Linked DNA regions of Astyanax mexicanus. The protein of the gene in region 1 binds, or shares a complex with, the protein of each later gene. Links are inferred from orthologs where the notes say so. Each region holds a gene or a part of one and is shown in the gene's direction. Other genes may lie near its edges. The genes, in order: mybbp1a and dek.

Region 1 (12,246 bases):
TTATTTACTTTAATTATTGTGGGTAGAGAGTAAAAAAATGTAACCTGGCGCTTTGATATGAGCGGCTACTGAAAAAAAGTCCTAATATCAGAGAAAACTCTGCAATGTGACTTAAAATAAATGAGTCAATTTTCAATATAAATTATTTTGCCATTTTCAGTCAAACAAATTTGGTTGCCAAGTATTCGGTCCACCTGTAGTATATATATAATACATATGGGACATATTATTAATAATGTATAAATATAAATTGTTGTGTCAATCACTGTGGTGTGTGTCTGTGTAGTGTGAGAGTCCTTCATTCATCTCTCTCTTTCTCTCTCTCTCTCTCTCTCTCTCTTTGATCATGACTCACTGATGTTGCTCTAATCTGTCTTTCTGTCATCCTGCCATTCTTCTGTTCCTCATCCTTTCATCCTGCCACTGTTTACTGAGAAACAGATAGTTTTACTGCTTCATCTGATACCTGCAACCCAGCACGCCCTCTCTACACACACACACACACACAGAATGCTGACCAGTTGTGTGATGGCCCCCTCTCTGTGTTCTGGTAGGAGTGTGTGAATGAACTGATCTGAACAAGGTGAATCAACAGCTTTAGTTCTCCAGTACTAGAATCTAATTATCCATAGTGTGTGTGTGTGGGTGTGTGTGTGTGGGTGTGTGTGCATGTGTCTGTGTGATCAAAGGACAAACCCCTCATATTCACACACGCCACACACACACTGAGGTTATCACACAAAGAGATAACAAAGCCTCACACACACTACACTGCATGTGTGAGTGTGTGTGTGTGTGTGTGTGTGTGAACTACAACCTGACTGATGTGTTCTGGAGATCAAAGGTCATGCCAAAGAGTGACACTAATACCCTTACAGACACACACACACACACACACACACACACACACACACACTGTCTGCTAATAGCCCCTACTGTTAGCTCTCGTCAGATGACTGTTTAAAGCTGAAATGTGTTGAAACAGACTGAGACTGGACTAATGTGTGTGTGTGTGTGTGTGTGTGCGCGCATGTGTGTGTGTGTGTGTTGCAGGCATTCTGGAGATTACGTCTGTGGATGTGGGGGTTGTAGCCATCCGGGGGCTCAGCAGCAACTATTATCTGGCCATCAGTAAGAAAGGAGAAGTGTATGGAGAGGTGAGTGTCATCACACACACACACACACACACACACACACACACACACTCCAACAGCACTGCTGTATTGGATACACTTACTGTACCAGCACAACACACACTAACACCTCATGCACCACCACCATGCTAATCACTGCTAATCACTGCTGTATCTGATCTATCGGCTCTATCTTCACAAACATGTGGGCATATATAGTATTTATCTGTGCTAATTAGTTTGTTGGTAGTATACTCACAGTATGTGTGTGTGTGTGTGTTCCAGAGAGAGTATGGTGTGAACTGCAGGCTGAAGGAGCGTATTGAGGAGAACGGCTACAACACCTACTCATCAGCGCAGTGGAGGAACCGGAGGAGAGCCATGTTTGTGGGTTTGAGCGCTAACGGCCGCCCGATGAGGGGCAGGAAAACACGCAGGAAGAACACGGCCACGCACTTCCTGCCCATCCTCGTCTGAGCGGACACACCGAGACACACCGGCACCAGAGACACGATGAGGACGAGACACTACAGAGCTGAGATCTGTACACAGCTCCTCCAGTTCCTCCTGCTGCTGCAGCCGGACCCACCTGATAACACTGCTCCCTGTGTGTGATCCTGATTCTTCTTTTGGATATAATAATGGCACATAGTACCACAACTTTGCCAAATCAGTTTAAAGAGTTGGACAAGAACGAGAGGCTGTTCAGACTCGGGGGCTTAAAGGAAAAGTCTGGCAAAAAAAAAACAAATATACACAAATTACCACCCAGCTCAACTCCTAAATATACTCTATACCTGTTACAGAAACAAACAGCAGTGCCCATCTTAGAGCCTGAACTGTGTACCTGTGCTACAGTCTATACTAGAGTCTGTACTAGTCTGTATTGGGTCTGTACTAGAGACTAATACAGTCTGTATTAGTCTGTGCTAGTCTGTACTAGAGTCTGTACTCTGTGCTACAATCTGTATTAGTCTGTGCTACAGTCTGCACTAGAGTCTGTACTCTTCTGTTCTATAGGTTGTGCTACAGTCTGTACTACAGTATGTACTCTTCTGTGCTATAGGTTGTGCTACAGTCTGTGCCACAGTCTGTGCTATCATCTGTGGTAAAGTCTGGATTAGTCTGTGCTACATTCTGTGCTATAGTCTGTACAACAGTCTGTGCTATAGTCTGTACTAGTCTGTGCTACAATCTGTACTCTTCTGTGCTATAGTCTGTGCTACAGTCTGTGCTATAGTCTGTATTAGTCTGTGCTACACTCTGTGCTATAGTCTGTACAACAGACTGTACTAGTCTGTGCTACAGTCTGTACTGGTCTGTGCTACAGTCTGTATTAATCTGTGCTACAATCTGTACTCTTCTGTACTCTAATTTACTACAGTCTGTGCTTTAAGTGTGCGCTGCAATCAATATTGTAGACTGCACTACAGTCTGTACTACACTCAGTTCTCTTCTGTGCTATAGTCTGTTCTACGTTCTGTACTAAACTTCACGCTAAAATCTGTACTACTCTACTACAGTTTGCACTACTGTCTGTACAAGTCTGTCAAATAGTCTGTACTATAATCTGTACTCTGATTTGTACTATATCCCATAATACAGTTGTGTACACAGGTTTTCTGACCTGTCGCTTTAATGTACTGTGAAACCTGTGAAACTATAGAGGTCAGTATATGGTTTCAGAACACGTGAGAACCGTACTGACAGATGGAGGAGAGGAATCTCCACAGGACGCTGGAGGCTCTGAATCCAGATCAGTTTTTAGTTATTACTGTAATACTGAGACTGAGATTAACTCACTAAACCTGGAATCAGCATAATTTACTGTATTCTGGACCCAAATCACGGAACTGTGTCGTGGAAATTATGCATGGAGCAGGATGCTGGATCGGGAACTTGGAGCTTGATCTAGAAAGTGGATTATGGAACTGGATCATGTATTCAGGGCAGCGGATTGGATCTTGGAACTGGTTTCTGAAGCTAAATCAGGACACATTACTGGATCTATAAACAGTTTATGGAACCAGAACGTGGAACAGGTACCTGGAACTGGAGTGAAAACATGGAACTTGATGCTGAAAGTGTATTATGGAAGTGGATCATGGATCCAGAGCGTGGATGGAACTGGATCTCAAAACTGGATCCTAGAATCGGAGTATTTTACTGGATCCAGATCAAGTTTATTACTTGAAAGCATAAAACTGGATCCTAGAACCACAGAATAGAACTGGATCCTAGAACCACAGAATAGAACTGGATCCTAGAACCACAGAATAGAACTGGATCCTAGAACAAGAGCATGGTTTTTGTTCCTGGACTTGGAGTATGGAACTATATAATGGAACCAGAGCGTGAAAATTAATCCTGGAACCGGATTCTTGAGTCGGAGCATATGACTGGACCCTGTAAATGTATCTGGACCCGGGATGTGGAACTGGGTCCTGGACCTGGATCGTTTTACTAGACTGTGAAACAGGAGAATGGAACCGGTCACCTGACGACCCGAGGGTCATTAGAGGCGTTTGTAAACACAGCTCTTGACTGCTTTCTGATATATTATTTATTTGTATACTATTTAAGAGCAAAATGAATGAAGTGTATGTAATAAAAGCAGCTTTCTGTACTTTATATCAAATAAAAGCTATTTTCTCACTCTTGTACAGAGTCTGAGTACATCTGTTCACTCATCACCAGTTACTGTGTGTGATTAGCTATACATCTCAAGGTGTAATAATCAATAAATCAATTGATTAATGAATCAATAAACCTTAAAACTGTTACTCTCATTTTATATTCAATGTACCTGAGCCTTTACAATCAATAGCTTAAAACAACAGAGAAAAAAATGGATTAAAAAAGTTGAAAATTTAGCAGAACTAATTTAAAATGATCATATAAAAATTAATCTAAGATATAGAAAAGTTAAATATAAACAAAAAAATAAAAAAAAAGAAAAAAGCTAAAATGTAAACATAAAAATTACTAAAAATATATAACTAAAGTATTAAATATACTTAGTGTATAAAAATACTAAAAAACTTTTAAGAAAAATATGAAACTAAAAAAAATATTCAGGAAGAATAAAAAAAAGAAAAATGCTAAAATATAAACATAAAAATATAATCAAATAAGTGTATAAAATAATAAGAAAATTATAACAGTACTAACCGTACTATATTAATAACACTACAAAATAAGATTAAACAAAATGTAACTATTACAATTTGAAGAGGAATAAAACTAAAACAATTAACAGACAAAATAAATAAATAAACATATTTCTAAACAGATAATTAAGATATGTTAGTGTATAAAATAATAAGAAAATATAAACAGAAAAACATAACAGTTCTTATAAACGTAGCAAACACAACAAAAATAGGATTAAAAATGAGAGTTGGTTAATAATAATAACATTACTTATAAGATTTAAAAAAAATAAGTATTACAATTTGCAAAGGAAAAAAATAAAACAGGTGATACAGACAAATAAATACATAAATAAACACACATATATATTTCTAAACATAAGATTTTATTGTGATTAACACAAAAAAAAGTTTTTTGCTGGCTTTTGTAGAATGTAGAATGTAACTGTAGCACCATTTAAGGTGGAACGGATAATTCGTGTAAAAAGCTAAATGTAACCTTAGAATTAGGACCACACACGCACACAGAGATATTTTCCACTACGCTTTCTTTCCTTATTAACTCAAATCTCTCTCTTTTAACCGAAACATTCCTCTTTATTTCCATTACACCCGCATTTTTACAGGAACACACACAAGCGGAAAACTCGCTAATAACTGCGCGCTATCTGCAGATTTACCAACAGCTCCGCGGATACAGTGGAAAAAGCTGAAATCAGGGTTAATGAGGGGCAAAACTACCCCAGATTACAGAGTTTCTCAACATTTCTCACAACAAACCTGCTGTAAAAGAGAAAAGAGCAAAAAACAGGCCTTATAAACAACACTGACACTAACGGAGATGAGACTGCACCACAAATTAACTGCAATAAACAATATTATTTTACTTTAATAGTATTTTAACACAATTTAATGCTAATAATATGATGACAATAAAATAGCATGATGCTAATGGATGCTACACCCTTTTAAAAAGGTAGTGATTTTCTTTTGTTATCATTATATTAAAATATTGGGGACATAGGGGAAAAATTATGATAAAGAAACAAATGAAAAATGAAAAAAAAAACATTTCAAAAACAGATTAACTATAAAGTTTCTGATGATTCATAAAAAAACCATATTAATGGTAAAATAAAATATATTTAAATGATCAAATTGAATCAAATAGTAAGAAAAAAAACAAGAAAACCCCAATAAGCATGAAAACTGAAACTAAACTACTAAATATATACAAACATATATACTATGATAAATAATAATAATAATATTATTAATAAAAAACATATAACAACCAAAAACAACTAAACACGTAGAATATTCAGACATAGGACAAAAATGGGTCATATATTCTCAATAAATGTTTTTTTCTTTTCTTTTTTACAAAGATTACAGAGACAACTAACATTAAATTTTAAAAATGATTAAATTGAATCAAATAACTAAGAAAAAAGTCAAGAAAATAATCATAACATTAAAATTTAACTGCTAAATATATACATACATATATAAAATTATAAATAATAATAATAATAATAATAATAATAATAATAATAATAATAATAATAATAATAAACACTAAAAAACATGTAGAATATTCAGACATTGGTCAAATACTGGTCATATATCCTCAATGAATGCTTTGTTTTTTAGTTGTTTTTTTTTACAAAAATGACAAAGGAAACTAAGATTTCATTTTTGGATTTTTTGTAACTGGAATACAGACTCACATTCACATTAATGTAAATAACTCCTTAATAACAATAATCTCATTACTATATCAAAGATTTGTCTTGATAGCCCTAACACAAGTGATCTAAATAACGATACCCAAATGGGAAAATGAAATAAATTATAATGAGACTAATTCTAATTATATTCAAATAATATTAACATATTATTTTCTTGCACATATAACTTACATTTTTTTTATTTTAACCATTTATATGTCTCTTTGTATTGGACGTAGATATGCCTTGTACAGTATACTAAAACGAACTAAATTAATAAACAAATACATTTTAGTATGGAATGGTGTAATAAGCAAAAGATGGTTTGTTGCCTGAGGGCAACATTATACCATAGAGTGTTAAACTACATGCGCACTGTTAAGTAATTTCTCCAAAAAAGTTAATTAAAATAAATAAACCTTTAAATGTTAGTGAAAGTTAATGCTACAGTTTGAGGGACTCTTATTTTGAAATGGTTGAAAGTCAAACCGGAGGTTCCCCCGTTCTCTCTGCACGTGTTTCCCTCTCGTGTTTTTCTCTACACGAGTTTAGTGAAGGCGAGCATGGTGGACCCTGATAGCGGCCCGGTTCGGCCCGCTGTGGCTGATCCGGACGGTGTTCTGAAGCGGAGCCGGGAGCTGCTGGACCTGTTCTGGGAAATCGCCAAACCCGAGAGAGAAGCGCGACTTCAGGCTGCCGAGAAACTGGTGGAACAGCTGAAGAAGAGTGGAGAGGTTAGTACACTCACTGAACTGGACCTCAGAACTTTTCAGAACCATCACAGCAGCTTAGTACCAGGATCAGTGCCCGTTCCACCTTAAATGTTCGGTTAGTTAGGTTAGCTACTCAACTGTTGTCATCAGATCACTTACAGATACTTCTGGACTGTTTAAGGTGGATTGAAGGCTGGTGGAATAAGAAGCTGGCTGGCAATCTGAGATTATTCTTGTCCAAATTGTTGTAGGTGGACACTCAAAATAATATTGTTGACCTTAATCTTCCTTCTGGAGTGCCTTTTACACCCTGTATTCCCTGTATCTCAGTTTTCTTTCTTAAACCTTGTGGTAATCTGATGAGCAGTGGTGGACTAAGTACACAAACCATGTGCTCGAGGTTAAGTATTTATACTACAGGTAAAGCCCCCCTTTAAACTTTAACAAGTGTAGAAATTCAGAAATAGTTTAATTCAAATATGCTTTGCTTCTGAAAGTAGCGATACCATCATTTATTTTTGCTATAATATTCTGTTATAATTTTTATGATTACTAGTCTCTTATTGATTAATCAGCTCGTTTTAGCTGAAACTTTTTTAATGTCGCTCTAACGTCACCAGTCTTTTGATAGAATGTCGTAAATGTCATATTGATGCCTGTTAAAAAGGCCACAAGCACAAAACACTAAACGAGAACAGTTTTCATTAGTTTGAACCAAGTTATTGTAAATATCTTTTTTTTACTAACAAGCACATTTTGGTTTAAGGTTTATATGTAACTTACAAGTTATGAGCTTAAGTTATGATTTTAAAAAAGATTGCTGTATCTATATGTTCCATATATTCATTATTTATGCAGTATAGGCACACCCACAATTTTTCACTGCTGCATTGGGCAGCTGCTGTTTGTCCAACAAGTCAGAACCAGGTAAAAACTAAGAATACGCTGTACCCCGATTCAAGTGACGTGCCCTGAATGGTGGGCTTGCTTGGTGCTTCTTTTATGATACAATACTCTAAAAGCATCTGATAAATTTGATATAATGTAATGTACTTTTTTATATACCCAAACAAGCCAAAATGACTGACAAAGTAGTGGATAGTAAATAGTAATATATTTGAGTTTGAAGTAATAGTGTTAAAGTAAAAAAAAAAATCACCTAACATGGATATGTTAGTAAAGTACAGATACACAAAAGTTTACTTAAGAACAATAATAATTATACTTCATTACTGTCCTCAATTTCTCCTGATTGATCAAGTAATATTTCGCTGTGCTGTGTGTTGAATTTGTAGACTATTTGCACCCAATGTGAGTGAGACCTGCTTAGTTTGTTTAATGTTAATGTGGCATTCTAATTATTACCTGAAACATCATTGCTTTTGTTTTGTATTGTGTTCTTTATTTTATTTTTTGTTGTGTTTTTCAGTCGGATGAGTTACAGTATGTGGTGAAGAGGCTGGTGAATGGACTGTCTCATGCACGAGAGCATGCTCGCACTGGCTACAGCGCCACACTGGCACAGGTAAAAAAAAAATAGCCTGTATTAGACGATTTTTAAAAAATATAAATATATAAATACCTCTTCTGGGTTTGCGTTTCTGGAGAAACACAGAATCTTCAAAACAGTTTGGTTCCTGTATTAACTGCTGGATGTACTGAAAAGTTCCAGTACAGTTCTGTAGGAGAACTCAGGTGTGTGATTTGTGTTTCTGCAGGTGCTCAGTGTGTTTGATGAACTTCCACTTAAAAGCACACTTGATCAGATCAAAGAAAAACATGATCTACAAACAGCCAATAAGGTAGGAAAAACACTAGATTTTTATTTAAAGAGACAAATTGCTTTTGCTGAACTGCTGGGCTTTGAAGTTGGGACTGTCTCCACCACTCACTCCTTATTTCTCTCTTTCTCTCTATCTCTCTCTTTCTCTCTCTCTCTCTCTCTCTTACTCTCTCTAATTTTCTCGTTCATTTTCTAACTCATATATTTATAAAAATTGTTTATGTGCAATTTTTATCTGTGCGATTATGAGTAAATAAGCGTGGTATCGGATTATCTTATGCCAGTATTAGTATTTATGCATCTCTATTAATGATTATTGGTGTTTCTAAATCTTCTGGATTTTCTTTCTCACTCTTTCTTTCTCTCTTTTTATAGAAACAAATCAGAAATGTGGCGTTTGGGAATTTTTTTGGCGTGCTCGCGCTGTCTCAGTCCACACGGTTGCACAAGGTAAGCTCCTCGTACTCATTACGTTGTAATTACATTACTCTGTTTTTATTTATTTGTAGAATTTATTTGTTAATCATTTTAAAAACACAGAATTACTGAATGTTTTCACACAGTCAAGTTGTCTGATGTCTGTCATTTCTCCAGGAGCCGCAGGTACTGCTGGAGTGTATTAAGCTGCTCCAGACTCTGTCTCAGTACAGAGAACACCTGAGAGAACTACCCAGGAAGACCATGGTGGACATTCTGAGTGAGGTTAGCTGAAGATCGGCCTTTTCGCCTGTGATGCTGCTGATGCACGTTTGATAAATTAGATTGTTATGCTACTCTGTGCCTTCATCTGGATGTGTATATATATATATATGTATATATACACACAAAAGCGTTCACACAAAGAATACAGTTTGTGCTAATTTATTAAGAGTGTTATTCATATGCTTATACCTAGGTTATGGAAACTGATAGTTTAAGGGAGAAAAAATCCCACACTGCAAGCATGCTGCTGTATTCAGAGCCATCCGCTACTTTCATCCACGCTTTTTTTTCCCCTCCAAACTGTTTACACAGATACACACAATTAATTTTTAACTGACTGGCAGCACTTATATAGTTATTATTTAATTTAATTCTAGTTATAATCTAATACTAATTCTTTCATTTACATTAAAATACCTATTATTAAAAGCTTTACATTTGGTAGGCCACATTGCATACACATACATGCACTTGATATTTGCACTGGTAATTTTTTTTACAAAAAAAATTATTGAAGTTTTTTTTTTTTTTTTTTTTTTTTTTTTTTTACACATATTTTGTAAGCAATTATTGTCTTTTAAGAAGCACAAGCTATTACAATAAAGGGCAAACACTTTTTTGTGATAAAATTGTATGTTTGAATGTTTGAATAATCATTTAAAAATCAATATCTCTCTGGGTCAGAAAATGGGATTGGCACATCCTTAGTATTTTTAATTTCCACCAGTTGGTAATACGTGCTGTTGTTCTGAGCTGCGTTTGTGTTGTGTTGTGTTTCAGACTTCAGAGGAGGTGTTTGAGGAGGTGCTGTTTAAAGCACTGCAGACTGATTTGACCTCTGCCCTCAGCAGCCCAGAACAGTTGGAGCTCCTCCTGGTGGCCATGCAAAAGTTTCCCTCAGTCATCAAACCGGCCAAACTGAAGAAACTGGTGGGGACTGCAAGCGTCATCAACAAAAACACCCTGCCACGGTGAGACACACACACACACACACACACACGTATACAAGGTTTTTTATTATTATATTATTATATTATATATATATATTTTTTATATCTTGATACTGACAAATGTAGCATCTAAACATATTACACATATACTGGCTGCTCATTATTAGTACAAGAAAAACTAACAATCAATAATTATTTAATATTTCAGTTAGGGGTGTGCCATAACACCATACGCAATATCAACATTTTATTTATAATTTGTTGCAGTAGAGTATATTCTTGAAATCGTTTTAATTCAGAGTTTTGTCTTATCACCAAGAATATCATTACTGCAATAATACCATGAAGTATCATAAAAAAATATTGTAATATTTTAGGGCCATATCGCCCACCCCTATTTTATATTTAATCTCTAGTTGTAGACGTCCTATACGGATGAGTACTCACTGGCAGGGACCTGCAGGGTCTATACACACACACACACACACACACTGTATAGCATGTACTCAATCATCAGCAAACACATACTACTTCATTGACAGTTTCATACACACAGGTCTTCTATGTTTATTGATTTAATCTGTACTTTAAAAGAAGTTGTCATGATGTGTTGCACTTATTCACTTATTCACTTATTCACTCATCCTTTGTGACCCTGCCTGTGTTCTGATAGGTTGGTTCAGGTGTTGAAGACGGCCGCTCGCTCGGTGAAGAAGGAGAACGTGTTGCCGACGGTGGCTCTGGACCTGCTGCAGATGTCTCTGAGGGAGGACAGCTTTGAGCTCTTCTGGAAGGAGGCCGTAATCAGCGGATTACTGTTAGACCCTGCAGGCCCCTGCCAGTGAGTACTCACCCGTATAGGACGTCTACATCTAAAGAATAAATATAAAATAGGGGTGGGCGATATGGCCCTAAAATATTACAACATTGTTTACGATACTTCATGGTATTATTGCAGTAATGATACTCTTGGTGATATGACAAAACACTGAATTAAAAAGATTATTTCAAGAAAACACTACTGCAACAAATTGTAAATAAAATTTTAATATTGCGTATGGAATGACATGGCACACCCCTAACTGAAATATTAAATAATTATTGTTTGTTTATTTTTTTGTACTAATAATGAGCAGCTGGTATATGTGTAATATGTTTAGATGTTAAATGTTAAATTTGTCAGTATAAAGATATATAAAATATATATATGTATATAATATAATAATATAATAATAAAAATCTTGTATATGTCAATAGTATTAATAGTATTATTCAGTCTCTGATTCTCCTGTTTTCCTTGTTTTTTTCCCCTGTTTTTTTTTTTAGTTATCTGGTGTTCAGGCTGTTCGGTGCGGCTCTGCCGATGCTTTCTGTGTCCCAGCTGAAATTTGTTCTGTCTGGAGAAGTGATGAGACGCTATGGGGAGCATGTGCTCTCTGCTCAGGTGAGTCAGACAATATCTGCTGTACTTTTAAAATTTTTAGGTTTTCTCTTAAACAAGAGCAGGGCCGGATTAAAAGAATTGGCTGAAAGGGCTGCAGTCCCGGGCCTCGGGTCGCTGAATGTCAAATTACAAAATTAATAAAAAAAACGAAAATTACAAGCAATAAAAAAGTAAAGAGCGACAGAATTATTACAGAAAACACCCAAATTAACCAACGTGGAGTAGTCAGCCTGCTGTAGCAGCTACCACCAGCAAAGATGTGCTGACTCTCTCTCGCTCTCTCACTCTTATTATCCTGCGCACTACCAAAAAGCCTTTGATTGTGTTTTAAATGAGTTTTTATTTTATATTAATTATTGTTTTATTCATTTGAAAATATTTTTATTTTATTGATTAAATTATTTTTTTTTTATACATTCTTTGTTTTTTATGTATCCATTTTAATGATCTTTTTAAAGTGTCCTATTTTTCCTTTTTTGCGTATATATTTTATTGGTCTATAGTAAATGTCAGTTTTTAGTTATTTCTAATCAACCCACACCCCACACGATATCATCGTCCATCGCGATGTTTCCCTGTAAACATCGTCATCTGCCAATTAAAGAGACATCGCCCAACCCTAAATTGAATTGAAATCAT
Region 2 (11,802 bases), on another chromosome or scaffold:
CCCACAACATGTGGTCAATGGAGCTCTCAGTGGAGGTGAAACAGATCATCATCAGGCTGAAAAAAAGAAGAACTCCATCAGAGAGATAGCAGAAATTTTTGGAGTGGCCAAATCAATAGTTTGGTACATTTTGGTAAAAAGAACGCAGTGGTGAGCTCGGGAACTTAAAAAGGCCTGAATGTTTACAAAAGACAACAGTGATGGATGATCACAGAATCCTTTCCACGCTGAAGAATAAAACCATTCACAACATCCACCCAAGTGAAATACACTCTTCAGGAAGTAGGTGTATCAGTACCCCAGTCTACCATGAGAGCAAATATAGAGGTGTTCACCACAAGGTTCAAATAATTAATAGAAAGCCCAGATTTAACAGATTTAAATAAAAACATATAAAGAATCCAGCCTAGTTCTGAACAGAGGTGGAAAAATTACTGAAAAATTGTAATTAAGTAAAAGTACCTTTACTTTGCTAAAATTCTACTCAAGTAAAAGTAAAAGTACCCATCTAAAAACCTACTTGAGTAAAATTAAAAAGTACCCAATTTAAAATGTACTTTGAGTAAAAGTTACATAGTTACTTTTAATTTTAATTATTTGATGTAAAAAAGTAAAAACAAATCATAAAATAAATTGTTTTTAATTAACTATTATTATCAGGCAGCATTTGTTCAGAACACCCCATAAAACAAGTAGCATAGGTTTCTATGATCATTTTTTTTCTTTACTATGAAAAGGTTATGGTCATATAGGTGACTATAAACTGTAATTTTATAGTTTTACAGTTCATTATTATTTTTTAACTTGCCATTGCTATGCTTTAACTGCTATATACATTTTTTTTTTACATTTGAGCAGATTGTTTAATGATAAAAGTACTTACACCACATGCTTTCGCAGGTTTGATGTGGAAGTTTTTAAAGCTGACAGCTCTGTCCGGCGGGGCACATTTTGTATTGCGTGAGGACGTTATTGCCTCGTTATTCCACGTGCAAGCATCCGTGCACCAGTGCATCCATGCAAATTTTTTTTTTTAATTCAGACAATTTTTTTTACCCCAGCATTTTTTTTACTCAGTAATTGGAAGTTTTCCAATGTAGCAAAGTAAATTACTTGTGTCAAAATGTACTTGAGTAAAAGTAAAATTACCTATTTTAAAAACTACTTAAAAAATTACAAATTACTCATAAAATCTACTCAATTACAGTAACTGAGTAAATGTAATTAATTACTTTCCACCTCTGGTTCTGAAACAGTGTTCCTTTGGACAGATAAAACTAAGATTGCTGCGGTCTGTGGGTTCCAGTCTTCTGGCAGAGATCACCTGCAAAGGTTTCTAAACAAAGTATTAAAAATAAATGTTTTATTTATGGTAAAGTTTATGTGTCCAATTACTTTTGCGCCCTGAAATGAGGAGGCTTTGTAGAAAAATGCTTTTAAAAGGATACATCATATGATACATATGATAGTTTTGTTCAACCCCTAAATTTAATCTGAAAATCTACACTTCAGTTACATTTTATTTGTTTCATTTCAAATCCAGTATGGTGGCCTGCAGAGCCCAAGTCATTGTCCAAATGTTTATCGACAAATAAAAATATAAAAGGCTCTAAGATTCAAGGTACATATATGTTCTGAAAGTCTTAAGGTCCATATATGCTCAAGCTAAAAGTGTAACTTAGTGTTGTAGTCAAGACAAAGTCCGAGTCAAGACCAAGACTTTTTAGTAGTCGAGTTTGAGTCAAGACCGAGACCGGGAAAAGCTGAGACCACGTCCAAGACCAGATTAAGATTTAAAAATAAAAGTTCAGATTCAAATACTATTTATTTTTGTTCTAAAATGTAAAAAAACAGTCACAAATTGTAGTTCTCTCCCTGGTAGCATTAGTATTTTAGCTAGCTTATTGCTAAGGTTAGCTAGCTCGTTGCTAAGGTAAGTTAGCTTGTCATTAGCTTTAGGTATTTCACCAGTAACAATATTGTATCATTTAGCTTGGTGCTAAGGTTAGCTAGCTTGTCGCTAATGGTAATTATCTCCCCGGTAGCATTAGTATTTTAGATAACTTGTCGGTAAGGTTAACTAGCTCATCGCTAACGGTAGTTATCTCCCCAGAAATATTAGTGTGTTAGCTAGCTCATTGCAAAGGTTAGTTATCTCTCTAGTTTGCACTTACTTATCCTTGTGCTTTCTTTCTAGATGTCTGGAATAAATTAATTGTGGTCCCTGGGGTCAAAAGATTCAATTAACCAAAGAGTATAACTACAGCAAGCAGGTGAAAAAAGTACATTCAACTTAACATTGGAGTATTCAGAATGAAAGGTGTACATTGATTGGAACAAAAGCTGGAGTAGCTTGCTTTTTGCCATTAGCCAATCTGTGTGCAGATTTTAGCCACACAGAGAAAGAACTGATTTAGTGTGTTTGAATGACTTGTTGATTTTTAGTAACATAGAAAAAAGGTTCAGTTTCTAATGAACTTAACCTCAGAGGACTCAGACTCGGCCAGACAAGACTCAGACCGATTCCAAAGAAGATTGAGTCCTTATTTTTGGTTTCAAGACCCAGATCGGACTTGAGTACAACAACACTAGTGTAATTGCATTAAAATATAATTCATTATCAAACTTATGTTCTTTTTTCTTGGATTGGGGTCAAGTATTTTGTTACGTCACGGCAAAAAATCACTAATTTGCACTAATTCACCAATGACAGAAAACTAGATTTGATCAGATTTACTGAAAATAAAAAACTAAAATTTACATAGACATAAGTATTCAGACACTTAGCTCTGGGGTGCCTCCCATTTCTCTGGACCACTAGAGTCCACCTGAGGTCAATTCCGCTGACTGGACCTTGATTTAGAAACATTTTGGGCACATCTTTCCAAATTGATCCTGCAATTTCTACATATAAACTCTCTTACTCACTCTCTCCCTCCTTAAATCATATAGTCTACTCTTTTCCTCATTCAGGTTCATGATTCTCCACTAGGGGTCTTTTTAACACTCAGGAGGTTTTTAAATACTTAATAAGTCAATTAATACTTACTGTTTATAATGTGTTCTTTTTATAATCACCCATGTTACCTAAAATGAGTCTTGAGCTGTTTTATTTCCGCATATTAATACACACATTCAATAGCACCAGGCGTCTATTTAAAAAGATTTGGAGAAAAAGCAGATTATCAAAAGTGATACAACACTGACCCCTGCTGTTCATCAATAGCATGTAAACATATTAAACGTGATGTTCTTTATAGATATATAAGATCTGACAGAGCTTGACTCAAGTAATCCTCTGAGAAATGCTGCTTTGTGATATCCTGTCAAGTTTATTAGCTGTCTCACTAAGAAAAAATATATTTTTGAATGAGCTTAACTAAAATAACTATTAATACTTTTTATGTATCAAATTACAATGATTAAAATGCTCCATTGGTTTAATAAATCATTACATCAATTTAACAAATTGTGTTTCTTACTTTAAATATTTTAAACCACAAAATATAATAAATACTGAAAGTAAGCATTAATTTCTTAAATTATTAAATCATGCTCTAAATTGATCAACTTCTCAAATTCCTTTAATTTGAAAAATATGTTTCATGACTATAATGCATCATTCTGTTAATTACATTAACTGTGCCCCTCAATTTAAAATGTTGTTTGCTCAGTTTATTGCTCCTCAAATCTGAAATTTCTCAGTTTAACTATCAATTTCGTCGATTAAATCATTCCTTTAATGAATCACTTTGGGTTTTTTTATTTAATAATTTAGTATTATAGAGATGCGAAAAAGGCGTCCAATAAACGTCCCTACGAAGTCCTCCAGATGTCATATATAGCCCTATCCGGACAAGATTAGTTTCTCAGGGGGTCCTGGGGTAATTTTCTCTTTTACTGTGGGTCCTCTGTGATTTTATTCCTGTCCAGAAAGACCATGTATTTGTTTCTCTCTGATGTCCTCTGAGAAAATTACAGGCTAAATTACCAACTGTTTTTCGCTGAACTCCGTGATCCTCCGATAATTTTAGTCCAGTCCAGACTCACAGTTTTGTCTCCTTGCATTTAATAAAATAGCTGTTTGTCCACTGCCACGCACCGTAATTACACTTTGGGTGCCCGTTTCCATAGAGATCCACATAAACACAACAGCAAGTGGAAATGGAGGAGCTATTAAACGCGATGTCATGTGACCGAGAAAGCCTAAAAACTTACTGGTCCTCCTGTTTTTTTAACTGCAGTCCAGATGCAGGAGTTTTATCACCGAGTAGAAGTGTGAAATATTTTTCACAGACGTCCCCCTGAGAAACTAATTCCGTCCAGACAGGGCTGGACCGAAAAAAGACATTTAAAATACTTTCTATAAATGTCCCATGGTGGTCATCTGAATGTTAAGTACCCTACCATCCCCTGCAACATTTTGGCGACCCTCCAAAATGCCCCGGCACGTTCCGGTGTGGGTTCGGAGGACTCCCTAGAGACCTGTTGTTTAAGCTGGGTTGTTCCCTCAGTTTAAAGTTACCCCACTAAAATTTAAGGAAACATTTTTATTTTCTTCGCTGTTCTGGTGCTCTGTATTTTTGTTAAGTTTTTAAAAGAAAAAAAAGACAGAATACACTTTCTGTCATTTGTTTGACGAATATGATCTTTTTTAAAAGTGCAAAATTACAAAATGTCTACACTCTAAGAAAAGTAAGTACAGATTTGTACTTAAAAGAGTACAAAGCTTGTCGCTGGGGCTGTACCTTATATTGAGGTACAAAAAAGTACCTTTCCATGAAAGTCCTTTTTTGTACCCATTTTTGTGCCAGTAAAGATTATAAAGATTATAAACATTATCATCAACTAAATATGGCTCAAAAACTTGATGATGCAAAATTGTCTGGCTTTCAAATAAAAAATGTGCAATTAAAATATATATTGTTTATTAGTACAGTGATGCAGAACACTGAATGTACCTTTTGTCTAGTCAAATGGTACAAATTTGTACTTATTGCTGTTAAAAATTACTTTGTACTTCAGAGGGAACAAATCTGACCCTGTAAAGACCAATATTGTACCTTTAAGGGTACAATTATGAAGAGTGTACCTTTGAGTACAAAAAAGTACTCATATCGTACCTCTGTTTTTTAGAGTGTAAGAGAGGTATGTGAGGTATGAAGACCTGAGAGAGGTGGAAAATCTACTGTAATTGAGTAGATTTTATGAGTAATTTGTAATTTTTACAGTAGATTTTAAAATAGGTCATTTTACTTTTACTCAAGTACATTTTGACACAAGTAATCTACTTTGCTACATTGGAAAACTCCCCGTTACTGAGTAAAAAATAAAATGCTGGGGGAAAAAAACAATTGTCTGAATTAAAAATAATAATAATTGGCACGGATGCACCGGCACACAGATGCTCATGCATGGAATAACGAGGCAATAACTTCTTCATGCAATACAAAATGTGTCCCGCCGGACAGAGCTGTCAGCTTTCAAAACTTCCACAGCAAACCTGTGAAAGCATGTGGTGGTAAATATTTTTATCATTAAACAATACGCTTGAATGTTAAAAAAAAAAACATTTAAATAGCAGTTAAAGCATAGCAATTGCAAGTTAAAATATAACAATGACCTGTAAAAACTGTAAAAATACAGTTTATAGTCACATATATGACCATAATTTTTTTACAGTAAAGAAAAAAATTGGATCATAGAAACCTATGCCACTTGTTCTTGAAAATGTTTTATGGGGTGGTCTGAACAAATACTGCCTGAAAAATCCAAATTATTATATGAAATAATAGTTCATTAAAAACAATTTAATATATGATTTATTGTATTTTTGTACATCAAATGATTAAAAGTAACTATGTAACGTTTACTCAAAGTACATTTTTAATTGAGTATTTTTTTAGATTTTATTTTTAGATGGGTACTTTTACTTAAGTAGAATTTTAGCAAAGTAAAGGTACTTTTATTTAATTAAAATTTTTCAGTACTTTTTCCACCTCTGAGCCTTGATGAGGTCATATGAAGTTCTTACATTAGTTTTTTTTACTCTGACTCTCTCCCGACTTTTGTGTGTGTGTGAGACGGTGGTCCGGGTCACGTGACTACACGCCCACACTTTTCAAACGCCATGTTGCGGAGTTTATCGGAGTGTTATCACGCAGCCCGGGCGTAGTTTGGATCCTGTGAGTGTGTTTCTCCTGTTTAATCCACGCGCTGTGTGCTGTAGTTTAGTGTGTGTATGTAGGGAGGCGGTGGGGGTGTCTCGGAGGGTGAGGGCAGTGCGGGATTTGGTCGGTTCTCCGCTTCTGCGGGGATTGTTTTGGTTCGGTCTGTGGGCGGGACGGTCCGCTAGCTGCGTAGCCGAGTTAGCTAGCGTTAGCTCCCTGCGCTGCTGTGGAGTTACCGCGGCGGAAGAGCCTCCAGCAGGAGCCCGGGTCCCCAGCGCGCGGTAAATATTTAGGTTTAACTCCAAGCTCTAACGCACAGCTCTTCTGCGGACATTAGAGGACATTAAACGCTATTTTGGGTCCGTTTAGGCAGTCTGCGTTGGAGTTAGCTAACTAGCTCAGTATTCAGAGCAGGCAGGGCTGTGTGTGTGTTTCTGGTACTCGCGCCAATTTAGTTTGAATTCGGGAGGCAGGCGGCTAACGCTAACTGGAAGATACCCTCAAACTAACAAGACTGCGGGGTTTAATAGGCAGAGAAATACAGTAAAAATAAGTATAAAGGGTCTCGATTATTACAGACTCCGGAGAAACACTTACTAAAACTTAATTCGTATTCATAGTAGCTAGCTACGCTAGCTAACTAAATATCTTAGCTAGCCAGTGTTTGGACAGTTTTGGGGTGAATTAGACTTGCTAGCTAGTTAACCTAGCTAACGCCAGGTTAGCTAATTTAACTAACAATTTACATAAGTTGGGTTAGCTAACGCTAGCTTAATTAGCTACTAAAGTTACACGTAGGTTAGGTAAGTTACCTAACTTCGTTAGCCGTTTTAATCTAAAAACACACCAGCAGTCAGAAAGCCCAGTACACCAGCAAGGTCCTGGGGTCGGTTGCACCAGTTGTGAGTAAGTTTAAACGTAGACTAGTTGTAGCGTTGGTTAAATGTGTACTAAAATCAGATTTACATAAAATCAAAACTACTATATAAATAGGTTCAAGTAGCTACTAATATTCACACGCAACTCAGCAGAAGTAAAGTGTAAAAAACAAGTTTTCATGCATCTTGGCATGTTATCCTCCACCAGACTTACACCCTGCTTTTGGACAACTTTATGCCACTCCTGGTGCAAAAATTCAAGCAGTTCAGCTTGGTTTGATGGCTTGTGATCATCACTCTACCTCTTGATTATATTCCATATCATTATATTCTGATACAGCTCTCTATCCAGAGCATCATTCTGAATGGAGAGATCCATTCTAATTAGTAAATTCAACTACTTTAAGCGATGGGAGATTACCAAATACCTAAAGACATCATTATACACATCATTTAAAACAGGCAACTAGCAATAGTAGCACAAAATGTAACTTGGCTACTTTGTATTTCAATAGAATTTTGATCACTTAATCTATGCACCAGACTATAAGACAACATTATACTAGTTAGAATTACAGTTCTGCTAAAAAAAAAAAGAAGTAATTGGTATCTGTAACTGATTGATTTTTTTATTATTTTTTTTTTTTTACTAGTCAGAAATGGCTATGGAGATGGCTGGGCGATTAAAGAAAAGTAATTAAATGTAATGGGTAGTAAGAATCTCTCTCTTTTTTCTTTTTTTTTTTTTACTTAAATGCAGCTTTTATATTAAACACAGTGCACACATAACCTCCCTGTATTTCAGTTAAAGAAAATGTGAAACATAACATCACTGAGGCATAAATAAAATAAATAAAAAAATTGCATTAAAACAGTAAATTAATCAAATTATAGTTTGAATATATGTGAAAGGCAAACAATCTTTTTTTGTGAGAATATGTATTTGATGCCCTTTTAATCTTTTACCCCACTTAGAAGTACCTAATCTGAGCTTGATTGAATATGGAGGAAGACATGGATATACAAGACGATCACACAAAAGAAGAAGAAGAAGAAGATGAGTCGGAGAAACCGAAGTCCAAGAGCATCTGTAAGTTATACTTCAGAATATAAATATATATATTTCCAGTAACACTAATCAAAATGTGTTGTTCGTTTACTGGAACTATCTTTTACTTTCCTACATGCAGATGAAGTGGAAATCATGGAAGGGAAACGGGAGAAGAAAACAGTCCAAAGACTTGATATGCAGGTGCCTAAACCAAAAGAGAAGCTGAAAATCGAGAGTATAGGCAAAGGAGACAAACTAGGAGACATCCCCCGTATCAATCATGCCATTGGAAGACTCAAAGCACCAATGCTTAAACCTCTTCACAAGATTATATACGATCGGCCAGGAGCTGTGAGTATTTTATTAAATTGAGTGAGATGTTCATAACCATAAGATTAACACTTCAGTAATGTTTTTTGTAAAATTTTGTTTTTAAATTTACAGGTAGCATCGCTTCGAAAACACCTTCGATTATTTAATGGCTTTCCGTTTGAGTTTGAGAGTGATCCTTACAACAAGAAGAGGATAAAGATGTCAAAGTAGGGAACCCATCATGATGTTTTATAACCAAAAATAGTATATATGTAGTATGAAGGATAGTAGTGATAGTAGATGGTCTATGGCAGTGGTTCTCAAACTGTGGTACGTATACCACTAGTGGTGCGCAAAGCATGTTAGGGTGGTACACCAGATGACCTCAGAAAATGTAATGCATGAACAAAAATATTAACAAAATATTTTAAAAATATCTAATTTTCACAACAGGTTTTTTAGTGTTTAATGTGGTAGATCCTGTATGTAAGCTTGTAAGCTTTAGTTCCTTCAGTTTCATAGACCCTACAATTAAACCCTGAGGAACTCCACGATTCACAATAGGTGCCATGTAGACTTTATAGTTCACTACATTCTCTCATAGTCCGGTTATTTCCCCCTGTCTCAAGCTTTCTGACATGTCTCAGTATGCATACTGCATTTATAAGAAACAATAATTTGCAGATTGTAAAGAGGGTAAGGTCCACACAGTAGCCCCAGTAGGTGGTCATTAAAAGATTTTGGTTTGATCATGAGTAGTACATTGCTTTAAAAGTTTGAGAACCACTGGTCTAATGTGTTTTATTGGTGAATGCTGGAAACTAAATTAAGACGTTGTCTAATAATCATTAATGAATGGCTTTTTTTACAGGATCCCCAAAGTACAGCTCAAGTCCATTTGTCAAATTCTTGATATTGAGAGGAGCGGAAGTCAAGCGGTTCTGGCTGATAGGATCATGCAGTTTCTTGTAAACCCCACAAACTCCGGGAAAGTGAGTTACACCTATCAAACTCTCTATTTCACATTAATTTTCCAAAGGACACCTGTACTAAGAACACTTTACATATTAAGTCGAAAAAAGGAAACAAATGTAGGATGTTTTCTTATGGTTAAAAACTAAACAACTGAGCCAAGACAATTCTTCAAAGTCTCCTACTATGAGAAAACAGCGTGTTTACACAGTAGTGCTGTAAACCTTCTACACAAACAAGCCAATTATGAAATTATAGTGAAACAAAACAAAAAAAAAGTTAGCAGTAAAAATCTTTTTAAAACGTAAAAAAAAGCTTTTACCAGCCCCCTACTAAAATTAATATTTCAGTCAGAGTTTGGAGACCTGCATTGTTTGCCAATCTAACAAAACCTGGATCACACCATGTGCAAATATCTTACTATAACTGTAGTATATAATTGCAATATACTGTAATCATCAAAGCCTGAACTACATCATGAATTTAAAAGCTAGAATTTATTATATAACAAAATAAGACGTTATTTGCAAGTCCAACAAGAAGCTGGCCAGCTCTGTGTGTGTGTGTTTCCCTTTATTCTCTCATAGCTCAGGCGAACAATTATAAAAAAAAGGCCAATATTTATTCTCTTCTGGTTTCTAGCTCGGTTACTCTCTCTTCTCTACATCCTTGCTTCCTTAGAGATCTGTTTCTACAGTCTCTTCACAGCCTCTGCCATACATAATTCATAATCAAAGAACTGAAACGGCTTTTCCAATCGATCTTTGTAGTCCTTGTAGTTCAGTTAGAAGTACAATGTGGTAAATCACCAGTTCACAGTTCTCGAAAGAGGCATGCTAGTCTTGCACTTCACACAGAAGTTACAAAGTCTGGTTTCAGCTCATTTAACCTTGGGTCAGGCATAAGAGGGATTCTGTTCTGCCCATTACACCTAATTGGAGTGGTGCAGTGATTTTTGAATCTGAAATGTTACTTCTCTAAAAGTATGAATAATCCAGAAAATTCCTCCTAGTGTCTCTTTTAAGAAAGAATGTTAAATTTATTCTTTTTTTATTATTATTACTCAGCCGGTAAGCTTAAAAAAGAAGAGAAAGAAGAAAACAGCAAAAGATACCAAACGTGAGAATAAAACTGCATCAAAGAGCAAGAAACAGCAAATGGACCCTGGAAAGTCTAAAGAAATCGTTACTTCAAGTAGTGATGAGGATGATGATGAAGATGATGATGAAGATGAAGGTGACACTAAAAATAAAGACACCGAAAAGTCTTCAGCATCAGACAGTCGGAAACAAAAAGGAGATGAAAGCGACTCAGATGAGGAGGAGGAGAGCGTAGAATCTGATGATGGTCTAGGAGACAGTGAGGATGAAGAGGTGAGAAACTTTTTTTAATTGATTTTTTTTTCTTTCTTTTTTTTTCTTTTTTTTTACTTTTTTACTTTTTTTTTTTAAATATTGGAACCAGTGCACATGCGTGAATCTAATAATGTTTATCATTTAAGCAAAAAGTGATTTATCTTCTGACAAGACTAGTTTATAAAATCAAACCTTATAGCTGTTCCATCTTACTGTTTATATATGAAATTCAAAGTACAATATGACTTAAAACTATGGAACTAGGCTTGTTCCATTTCTTGGGTATGTTTTGATGCCTTGCAAAAGTATTGGTGTGCCTTGCAAAAGTGTTGAGGCCCCTTAAACCTTTTCACTTTTTGTCAGTTACAACCACAAACTTGGATGCTGAAAGCTTGGGATATGTTTTTATAACCTAACCTTGCTTTAAAACATTTCCACAACCTAATCTCTGTCTGGTGAGTACCTTGGTCTGTATGAGGCTGTTCTCTAGTGTTCTCTAACAAACCAATGAGGCCTTCACAGAACAGCTGTATTTATAATGAGCCACTGTAGTTCAACATACCTGTAGGTGATTTTGATCTTAAATCGTAAAGCTCTGAATTCTGCCATGTAAATACGGTGTAAAACATGGTCACCAGTCTGTAATTAATTTAAAATTAATTAATTAAGAGAGAGTGAAATGTAGGAACTATTCAGGAATCTTTTTACATGGAATGATCGAAATAATAAGATTCTTCAGTCAGTTGGTTGTGCACTCCCACATCAGTTCACATTACTCTGCATTGTTGTGATTTGCATTGTTGAGTGTATTCTGAATACTAATTATTGTGTGTCACCCCTTGAAATCGAACATCAAATCAGAAGACAAAATCAAAGAAGTCCGGCAACAAAAAGAAACCCACCCCAAAGATTACAGAAGACAATTCTGACCTGTCTGCATCAGACGAGGACGAGGACAATGAGTCTGCTGAAGAGGTGGCTCCAAAAAAGGTTGGTGTTTTGTGTCTCTAAAGGTAAACAAAATTTAAATTTAGTTCTGGTAAACCTATTTTTTAATGGACATC

What was found.
Region 2: mybbp1a (region 1) and dek share a complex: the UniProt entries of both Homo sapiens proteins name them as parts of the B-WICH complex. The link is inferred for Astyanax mexicanus from reciprocal best matches to the Homo sapiens genes MYBBP1A and DEK.

Annotation. Positions count from the first base shown.
Region 1 is NC_064429.1:11,720,493-11,732,738, forward strand, and holds the start of mybbp1a (myb-binding protein 1A-like protein), read left to right. Parts: upstream 1-6,518; 5' UTR 6,519-6,578; coding exon 6,579-6,749; intron 6,750-8,157; coding exon 8,158-8,253; intron 8,254-8,446; coding exon 8,447-8,530; intron 8,531-8,886; coding exon 8,887-8,961; intron 8,962-9,105; coding exon 9,106-9,213; intron 9,214-9,993; coding exon 9,994-10,184; intron 10,185-10,836; coding exon 10,837-11,004; intron 11,005-11,489; coding exon 11,490-11,607; intron 11,608-12,246. Other genes in the region: fgf10b (fibroblast growth factor 10b), read left to right, coding at 1,054-1,157, 1,419-1,610. UniProt on the Homo sapiens protein: May activate or repress transcription via interactions with sequence specific DNA-binding proteins. Repression may be mediated at least in part by histone deacetylase activity (HDAC activity).
Region 2 is NC_064413.1:17,882,599-17,894,400, reverse strand, and holds the start of dek (protein DEK), read left to right. Parts: upstream 1-6,074; 5' UTR 6,075-6,185; exon of another isoform or gene 6,186-6,451; intron 6,452-8,023; 5' UTR 8,024-8,050; coding exon 8,051-8,138; intron 8,139-8,238; coding exon 8,239-8,450; intron 8,451-8,543; coding exon 8,544-8,638; intron 8,639-9,282; coding exon 9,283-9,403; intron 9,404-10,450; coding exon 10,451-10,756; intron 10,757-11,599; coding exon 11,600-11,728; intron 11,729-11,802. UniProt on the Homo sapiens protein: Involved in chromatin organization.